2 linked regions of the Arabidopsis thaliana genome follow. The protein of the gene in region 1 interacts with the protein of each later gene in a pairwise test. Each region holds a gene or a part of one and is shown on either strand. Other genes may lie near its edges.

Region 1 (4,678 bases):
GTAGCCGACTCTCTTGGAGCTACATTAGGTGCAACAGCGGCATTTCTGCTTGGTAGAACGGTATGTCTCTTATGGTTCCATCTGTTTTAATATATTTCGCTTGCAATTGTGTTGCTTGCCATAACCACAGAAGTACTGATTCCTGTTTTGTGCGTCCTCACATCTAGGCATTTTATCTAAGTGTTGCATCTTGGCTGTCTCATTGTTGCTAATGATATATCTTTTGTCTTTCTGGTATCATGCAGATTGGTAAATCTTATGTCACTTCAAAAATAAAGCATTACCCAAAGTTTCAAGCTGTTTCCGTTGCAATTCAAAAATCTGGCTTCAAGGCATGAAAATCTAGTAACACTCTCTATAATAATTGACAGTTTGTTTTCCTTCAGAGATCTACTATGCGTATGGCAAAGTACCTCAATTTCCTGGCTACATTTAATTGATTGACTACTAACTAAATGATGATATTTTCTTCCTGTGCAGATAGTCTTGCTGCTACGCGTTGTCCCCATACTGCCCTTCAATATGTTGAATTACCTCCTATCTGTAACTCCTGTTCGCTTAGGGGAATACATGCTGGCCACTTGGTTGGGAATGATGGTACTGACATTTCTTTAAAATCCGCTTGTATATTGGCCATTTATACTTTAATAATGGTGGAAGAAGTTAGCATGCATGTTAAAGTGCTGATTGCTAACATTATACATAATAGTAATTCTAATCTTCTGAATTGTTTTGATGTAGCAGCCCATTACATTTGCGCTAGTATATGTTGGAACTACTCTGAAAGATCTTTCTGATATTACACATGGATGGCATGAGGTGTCAGTATTTCGTTGGGTAAGTTTTCGCTCATTTACTTCCACTTGACTAGTAGATTGGAAATGATTGTAGATGAGCTTGAATGAAGTCAGAAGAATGAAGATAGTTTTGTGTTTCTGCTGTAATGCATAATTACTTATCACTTATCATTTATACTGAGATTACTAGGTTTAGAAGTTTGTAGTATTAGAAAAATAACAACTTGTCTGAAATGAAGTTTGAAGTATGCCTTATTTTATGAGGTTTATTGGAAACATCTTGGTGTATATCCCTCAATATAATGTAGAGTTGCTTATTTTCCATAATATGATAGACATTTCTGGGATCTGAAATATTGAGAATGTAGCTTAAAAATCCTGAGGATGAGGATTTATAACCAAGTCCAAAGCATCCTATGTGTAGGGAAGAACATTGTGATAGTCTCGCATCTGCATTTATTTAGTTGGTATTTTGTAGCTTTGATTGAAGTATCTGAGTGCCCTTGCATTGTAAGTCTGATTTCTCGTTTCTTCTGCATTGTCATTTGTGGATGCAGGTAATTATGATGGTTGGCGTAGCTCTAGCTGGTAAGTCTCTTCTGCAGTCATGTCCAAATATATATCTAGCTAGCTTCACTACATTGTGAGAAGTGGAATGACACCATGTGGTCTGTGTTTTAACCCGTCTTTTTTTGGGTTTTTGAATGATGTGGGTGCAGTAATTCTGATAATATGCATAACAAGAGTGGCGAAATCATCCTTGGACAAAGCATTGGCTGAGAATGGTACTGAATTAGATGGGAAGAAGAATGACGACGCTTCCGTACTCCCGATCGCAGAGCCACCACCGGATCTACAAGAGCCTCTCGTTATCAGAATCGACCCATCCAATACTTGAATAATATAGACAAGAAGAAACCTCTTGAGTTTGTAAATTTCGCGAAATTTTCTTACCGAGTGAGTTATTAGAAACGTTTTGTATAGCATCATAATACCATACTTCACAGTTTAATTCGTTTGTTCTTTAGTTGATTATTTTGGTATATACTTGAGGTTTTGAAATCTTGTAACTTGTAAGAATGCCCAACCGGTGGCTACAATAATTAACCGGAAATTAATTTGACTCGAGTCCTTATCAGACCGGTTGAATCGGTCGAGTCAGGTCGGGTTAGAAAATATCAATATTCGGGCATATTCCTTGGCCTTCATACGTGTGCGTCTGCCATTTTTTTTCTAAACTCCGAATCCCAAAATTGTTGCCTTCCTTCGTCTCCGATCATTTTCGTGGTGTCTGTAACCCCAATTACAATTCGAATCCATTAGCGAAAGAAAGAGACTTCCTTTGAAAGAGAAGAGTCTCGTTGGCTCGGTTTTCTGTTCAAATCAGCGGATTTCCTCACATTTAATTGTTCAATCATGGCGGCTACCAATGTCATGCGGCGAGACGAGAGCCTTCTTATTGATCCCCAAAGAGGTAATTCGAAGTTCATTTTTGATAGGCCCGTGTTTAGAGAAATTTATGTACAGGGGAATTAGGGTTTCTGATAACAGAAATTCTTTTTTTTTTCGTTTCCTGGGAATGAATTTCTTAGGGTTTCACTTGCAGGAGATACAAGTGTTTCTCGTGGCCTCTCGCTTGAGAAGAAAATTGAGGCCCTTGAGAGCCTGGCCGGACAAGTGAGTGCCTTTTTCACTCTTGTTTGATTTTCTTCATTACATTTTCTGGGAAATGTTGTCTATCGTATCGGACAGCCAAAATTGTGATTCTGTTAGTCAGTTTTTTTCTGATTAATACTTGAGATGTGATTTTCCTGTATTTCTTCATCTAAAGGTTGCTTATTTAAGACAATGAGATTGATTTTACTTGAGATGAATAATTGAGGTTGATATACTTGTAGCTAATGAGTTTTTTTTTGCTAATGCAGGTTAGTAACAGGCGATCTCGGAGATGGTTAAATGATCGTATTCTGATGGAACTTGTTCCTCGTTTGGATGCCCAAGAAATCAGAGGCTTGTTTGCTCCACCACCGTGGGGTAATATGACATTCCATTCAAAGTTTTACTCTTCTTGTATAATCTCAAATTGAGTTTTTTTGCCATGTTTTCGTCTTTTTGCTATTGTTAACATATAACATCGTTTCACTGAGTCCACAAATGTTCTACAGGTGATGATGTCCCACCCTCAGCATTTTCTTTGACTAATGTTGGAGAATGGGACAAATTTAGAAACATAGACATGGACAAGGAGGTAACTTACATGTCTTTTGGGACTGTTTCTCAGAGAAGAAGTGCACGTTACTATATTTCTCTGAATATAATTTGTTTGTAGAATCAGTGATGTCATTTGTTTGACATACTTGGTCTTAACTATTGTTAGGAATTGTGTTTTTTTCAGGCCAACATCATGGATTCCTTGAATAGGTCATCCGTAAGGCAGAAAGGTAGCGTGGACGGTGATAAAATCGCTGTCTTAAATGCTTGGAGAAGAATAGATTGTAGGACAAGAGATGCTCTTCGACGTAGCTTTTTACCAGAACTAATCGAGGGATATGAGGTATAGATTCTTCAGATATGACAATGTAAGTCATACATGTAAATATAGACCCTTTGCTTCTAGAATTCAGAATCGTTTATTATTTCCACAGAGCTGTATAAGTCACTTCATCGAGGAAGGTGGTGAAGGAGATGTTCTTGAGCTCAAGGTTCAAGACCCATTCCATAGATTGCTTTTACACGGTGTTTGTGAGGTATGAGCCACGACATCACTTGCGCTATTTTCTGCTAAGATGTTGAATGAAGATATAGAGAGTAACAACCTAAAAGAAACTGTTTTCTTTGGAGCAGTATCACAATTTGGTATCAACAACTGCAACAGAACAGATAGGAAGGATAGCAATGAAGACAACGAGCATCAAATGGAAGAAGAGTGGCGATTCAGGGGAGAAACCAAGCATCAGCCTAGCGCATTTCCTTAGGATGTCAAAGGAAGGAGCTTGGTAACAACACATACACTCCTTTGTAGCTGTGGTTTTTTATGAATATCAGCGCCAATTTAAAGGGCTATTTATGCAGCAAAAAGATCTCAAGACTCTCTCTCTCTCTCTTTGGCCTTTGCTACTTCCCCCTATGTGGCCTCTTGTAAGCTTGTATTTGTATCCTCAATTTATACGGTTTTATGATTAAAGAACGAGATAGACAATAAATTTTATTGAGTGCTGATTGTGAATTTTGAATCTTTAAAGTTATATTTTTGTTATTAACTTGTCGAGGCCTTTGAGTTACAAAGCCCAACAGTTGGAGTTCCAGCTCAGCCACTAGGCGTTATTACGTTAACGAAATTTCCAACGGTCAAAAATAGTGTTTCCTTTTTTCGATGGGGATATTTATGTAATTTCGGCTCTCTCGGCCGAGTTTTCCTTTTCTGCAATGGGGTATTTAGGTAATTTCGACTCTCTCACAGCCAAGTTTTCCTTTTTCTCTAGGTTTTATGTTGGGTTTCTGATTCAACGTACATAAAATTGTTTATAAGTATAACTCCAGCATCAGAGATCCATTCGATAGCGACTTCTCTCTCTCTCTTTTCTGATATCAGAAAAACTTTCTTTGTTTTCTCTCTTCCTTTTCTCATATAGAAAAACGTTCAGAGATTCATTCGATAGCACTACCTATATTAGTCGTGAATTTTACAGTGTTTGATTCATGAAACAAAAGATACGGTCGATTTTTGTTTTTTGGGGATGACGATCAGAAGCAAAAAAAGCAAAGGCTATCGTCAAGAGATCAAATCAACTTGCGCGGACTCCAACACTTTGTTCTCAAAAGGTATTTTTTTTCCTTATCTCTGTTTCTGTTTTTTTTTGTTTTTTTATCTACGTCTTGTT
Region 2 (5,023 bases), on another chromosome or scaffold:
ATGATGTGTTAAGGTTTTAATGGGGTTTAACAGTGTCTATATATGTATTTTTGATATTAAATTAAATTTTATTTTATCAATTTTGTTAAATAGTGAGTTTGATAGTAAGTAAATAATTATATATATTTATAGAGTTTAAGTTAGAAAACGTGTTAAATTGGTAAACAATTATCAAATTTTGATGGGATACAGATTACATTTTGAATAAAATAAGATAAATATTGATTTTTCATGGTTTTAATAGGTTTTTTATTTATAATAATGTCTATATAGGTATGTATTTGATGTAAAATCATTAATTTTATTTTATCCATTTTGTTAAATAGTGAGTTGGATAGTAATTAAATAATTATGAATATTTATAGAGTTTAAGTTACAAAAAATGTGTTAAATTGGTAAAAACAAATTATCACATTTTGATTGGATACAGATTAAATTTTGTATAAAAGAAGATAAATACTGATGTGTCAAGGTTTTAATGGTTTTTATTAATAAAAAATGTCTATATATGTATGTATTTGATATTAATCATTCCTTTATATTTTATCAATTTTGTTAAATAGTGAGTTGGATAGTAATTATATACTTAATTATGTATAGATTTATAGAGTTTAAGTTAGAAAATGTGTTAAATTGGTAAAAATTTATCAAATTTTGATTGGATACAGATTTGATCAAATCTCTCTTTATCACCTTTGATTTAGTATAAAATAAAACCAATATACATTCTAGACATATAACATTTATAGTTTGAGTCTTCTTTGTAGTATTGTGCTCCTCGTCTTAATTAACTAATCACAAAAAAAATGAAAGGTGAAAAGAGAGTCAAAGAAGTGATTTGTCTTTATAGTCGTGGATTATACTATTTCATTGCCTTGAGAGTATCATTACAAATCCTCTTAGACATTGAACCCCCTAGCTATATGCCCGTATACGTGTAAGGAAATTCTTGTTGTATATAGATTTGATTTGAAGTAGTTATTTGGATGATTTTTAATTGTATTATGTCTCATCATGGCCAGATACACAACTCTGAGGGCTGCGAATATTCCATACATTGGTATGGTAATTTGGTGCTTGTGCAAAGATGTTCTAGTCCCAAGATATCAACTAGGACCGGAGGGGCGGGCATTCTTCTTCTTGGCCGTGATGATACTTATGTATTGCATCTCGTATAATGTCCAAGGCGTAATGAGCAGAGTAGAGGGGTCCATAATTGGCGTGTGTCTTATACTAGCGGGGATTTCGATCGTGCAACTCTCTTGTCCAATAAAAGATTTTACAGTTACACATACTCTGTCCACCACTTACTTAGGAGCTCTGTTTGCAATCCTCGGTTGGTTAGGCACATCCTCATGGTCCTACTTTATTGGAACCCTTTTATGTTTTCCTATAACCTTATTTATCATCTACATGTTGGTTGATCCTTTGGATGACAACTAGATCAGGCATGATTCCCAACATGATATGAGTGACATATATCTATAATAATTAAGATGGCTTCCAATATTTTTACAAACTGTAAACACCAAGAACACTGTTTTCCTTCGTGAATAACAAACAAATCTTTCATACTGTGAAGGGCTCAGTTGTTAAGGAGAATTATTAAGAGTTTAAGACCTTGTTATAAAATAGCTATATGTGGTTTTTTATTTTCCTACTACAGTACTTAAGTACTTGTTTCATTATTAATGTCAAGAAAACTTGATTCGTATAAATCGTGTTCTTGGGGTTTAAGTTACAAATCTATCTGCCTTATATATTGACTACAACTCAAGTATAGAGCTTAACTTAGGAGTAAATACTTAACTAATAATCCATAACTAATAATTCTTAATATATATATAGAGAGATCAATATTCAGGCTGCTAAAATATAATTGGAAATTCTAGGTTACTCATGAATTTTGTGTAAGTGGAGTATAACTTGTGAATATATTAATGTAATTTCCACTAAACGGCAAGTAGTTTTATTTGTGTGAAATGGAACGGCAAGTAGTTTCGTTCGTGTTGAAACCGTAATATTCTATTGGGCTTTTTCACACGGAAGCCCATCTACATATTTTTTCTCGTGGTCCGTTGTTGCATCGCAAGAGCACTAAGTTTGAAATTCGAAAACCAAATCGTCTCTCTCTCGCTCGATGCGTGTTGCCTGTTCGGATTCTGGATCTCTGTTGAATTGCTTTCTGGGGACTTGTTTTAGTTTGGTATTTGTTCGTTTGGCTTAGGTTTTAGGGTTCTGTGATTTTGATAACTCGGGGTTTTGTTGATTCCTGAAGATTTGGGGGATTTTAGGGTTGATGGGTTCCACAATGGAGGATGAAAAAGATGCGTTTTACATTGTGCGTAAGGGAGACATTATTGGTGTCTATCGAAGCTTGAGCGAATGCCAAGGGCAAGCTGGTTCATCTGTAATTTCTCTGTTTATTCCTTTTATCTTATTCACTGTTGAAGTTGATGTCTGCATTATTAGGGCTTACATATGTTTTGTTTTGGTTTCAGGTATCACATCCTGCAATGAGTGTGTACAAAGGATATGGTTGGCCAAAAGGAGCAGAGGACTTGTTATCTTCGTTTGGGATTAAGAACGCTCTTTTTTCTGTCAATGCAAGTCATGTCAAAGATGATGCTTTTGGGAAACTCATTCCTTGTCCTGTTCAGGTTTGACACACAATCTTGATCTAACTAACATTCTTGTATGAGCGACTGAATAATAGAGAGTGATCTTAGTGCAGATATCATATTTTACAGGAACATCTACTCAGTTGCTTGTCTAATCTGTGACATTATTTTAGTTGACGTTCAAAATTCTGTTCTGACTTTTGATTTTTCATTTCAGCAACCGTCTTCTTCCCAAGGAGAGTCTCTCAACAAATCTTCCCCGTCTAAGAGATTGCAAGATATGGTAACAACTGTAAATCTTTTCTGTTATAGAGACATAATTCATTGCCTTTGCTGCTGGTGCTATGTATTAGTAACTGTATGTTTTGCAATCTCTTGAAGATAATGATGAAAATTCTTGTGCCTCTGATCTTCAGGGAAGTGGTGAATCGGGTTCATTTTCCCCTAGTCCTCCGCAGAAGCAGCTTAAGATCGAAAATGACATGCTTCGTCGGATTCCTTCCAGTCTCCTAACTCGGACACCTATACGTCAAAATGTAATAACATCCAACAAAATTATTCAGTCAGATGCTTGTTTTCTTCTTCTGCATCTTTATAATTCCTTTATCTATCATTCGCCCTCAGGATTCATGTACCATTGAGTTTGATGGTGCTTCTAAAGGAAACCCAGGGAAGGCTGGTGCAGGAGCTGTTCTCCGTGCTTCAGATAATAGTGTCCTCTTCTATTTACGGGAAGGTGTTGGCAATGCCACAAACAATGTTGCAGAGTATCGAGCTCTGCTTCTTGGTTTGAGGTCTGCTCTTGACAAAGGGTTTAAAAATGTGCACGTCTTAGGCGACTCAATGCTTGTCTGTATGCAGGTCCAGATATAAAATTCACTCTTATCTTTTGTCTTGTTTGAATTATTCATGTTTGTGCCTTAATTGTTTTGATAACTTGGATTCGACAATGGAACAGGTTCAAGGTGCATGGAAAACCAATCACCCAAAAATGGCTGAGCTGTGCAAACAGGCTAAGGAGCTCATGAACAGTTTTAAAACATTCGATATCAAACACATTGCCAGGGTAAGCCACCAAACCCGCTTGGTCTAGCTGCTGATTTGCTTGTGATCAACTCTGTAGTCCGTCTGCGCAACAATCATTAGATATCCAATCATGTTTGGTTTTGAGAGTTTTAGTGCGAATTAGGACCAAGTATCTTTGAGTTCATTTGATATGAAGATGACCACTAATTGTAAGCTGTCCGGTTTGCAGGAAAAAAATTCAGAAGCTGATAAACAAGCTAACAGTGCGATTTTTCTGGCAGGTGAGTTAGATGAAGTTCTTGAAAAAAAACATATGGGTTTGATTTTTGTGTATGGATCTTGAAAGAAATCCATACGCATCGCTAACCAGGCTTCAATCAATTTTTTTTTTTTTGTCAATGTGTATCCAGATGGTCAAACGCAAGTGATTTCAGGCGGCTAGAAGAGATTAGTTTAGTGTATTCCTGTTTTTGTGTTTCCGGGATCGTGTCTTTAACATGCTGTGTCTTGGCATAAACATGAACATGACGATGTTCTCTTCTCTCTTTTATTCTGTCCCCATGACTGTTGAGATTTCCAGTCACTTGTTCTCTAAGTTAAAATTTCTGAGAATACGTTTATTACTATTTCTAAGAATATGCTATGTGTTGACCATAAACATGAACATGGTAGAACATGTTCTGACTTCTCTTTTGCTCTGTCCCCAGTCTGTTAAAACTTCAGTCACTTGTTCTCTAAGTTAAAAATTCGCAAGAACATGTCTATGTTTCTCTCCCTTTTTAACACTTTTCTTGCATTCTAGTTCGATAATTTCAATTATGAATGTCTCCCTTATGTTATTCAAAACCCTACTCATAAAATGGGAGGGAAAATTGGTAATGAGAAATCTGTTAAAACCAAACCGAAATTTATGAAATGGATCACAAAAAGAAAAGAAAAGCCAAACTCAAGATAAATTACAACAAGCCCACTAATTTTCTACACAAACTATTTACAGTTTCCTTTTCCCCCCTTTTTTTTCTGGTTGTTTGTATACACCCTCGCATTAACAGTAAAAGACGAAGAAAGAGTGTGGTAAAAAAAGATAAATAAGAAAAGCTCACATCAGAGTTGGGACGATGATCTAGCACCACCATTACTAATGGATCTTGGTTGCCTTAGAAGCTCAATCAACGCCTCAGCCTTTTGCTTAGCTCGACTTGTTCCTGCCTGCGACAGAGCCACTAGCGGAGGTATCGCTCCTTCTCTAGCCACCATTGTTCTATACACAACACTCTCCTCACAAAGCTGTAGCAATATCGACACAGCCATCTCTTTCTGTCTCTGTGTTCCCACCTCTACTATCTCCACCAGCACCGGAACTCCTCCTTCCTCCA

The links.
Region 2: the proteins of AT1G03250 (region 1) and AT3G01410 interact in a two-hybrid assay, tested with the Arabidopsis thaliana proteins (one large-scale study listed by BioGRID).

The regions. Positions count from the first base shown.
Region 1 is NC_003070.9:792,695-797,372, reverse strand, and holds AT1G03250 (R3H domain protein), read left to right. Parts: upstream 1-1,996; 5' UTR 1,997-2,213; coding exon 2,214-2,271; intron 2,272-2,303; exon of another isoform or gene 2,304-2,403; coding exon 2,404-2,474; intron 2,475-2,722; coding exon 2,723-2,831; intron 2,832-2,962; coding exon 2,963-3,045; intron 3,046-3,174; coding exon 3,175-3,351; intron 3,352-3,442; coding exon 3,443-3,544; coding exon of another isoform or gene 3,545-3,550; exon of another isoform or gene 3,551-3,641; coding exon 3,642-3,797; 3' UTR 3,798-4,014; downstream 4,015-4,678. Other genes in the region: AT1G03260 (SNARE associated Golgi protein family), read left to right, coding at 1-60, 246-332, 481-597, 745-837, 1,355-1,385, 1,517-1,695; AT1G03240 (uncharacterized protein), read left to right, coding at 4,535-4,619.
Region 2 is NC_003074.8:152,716-157,738, reverse strand, and holds AT3G01410 (Polynucleotidyl transferase, ribonuclease H-like superfamily protein), read left to right. Parts: upstream 1-2,081; 5' UTR 2,082-2,299; coding exon 2,300-2,410; intron 2,411-2,501; coding exon 2,502-2,660; intron 2,661-2,838; coding exon 2,839-2,904; intron 2,905-3,037; coding exon 3,038-3,157; intron 3,158-3,245; coding exon 3,246-3,482; intron 3,483-3,579; coding exon 3,580-3,687; intron 3,688-3,876; coding exon 3,877-3,928; intron 3,929-4,057; coding exon 4,058-4,089; 3' UTR 4,090-4,396; downstream 4,397-5,023. Other genes in the region: AT3G01415 (tubulin-tyrosine ligase), read left to right, coding at 807-937, 1,023-1,443; AT3G01400 (ARM repeat superfamily protein), read right to left, coding at 4,752-5,023.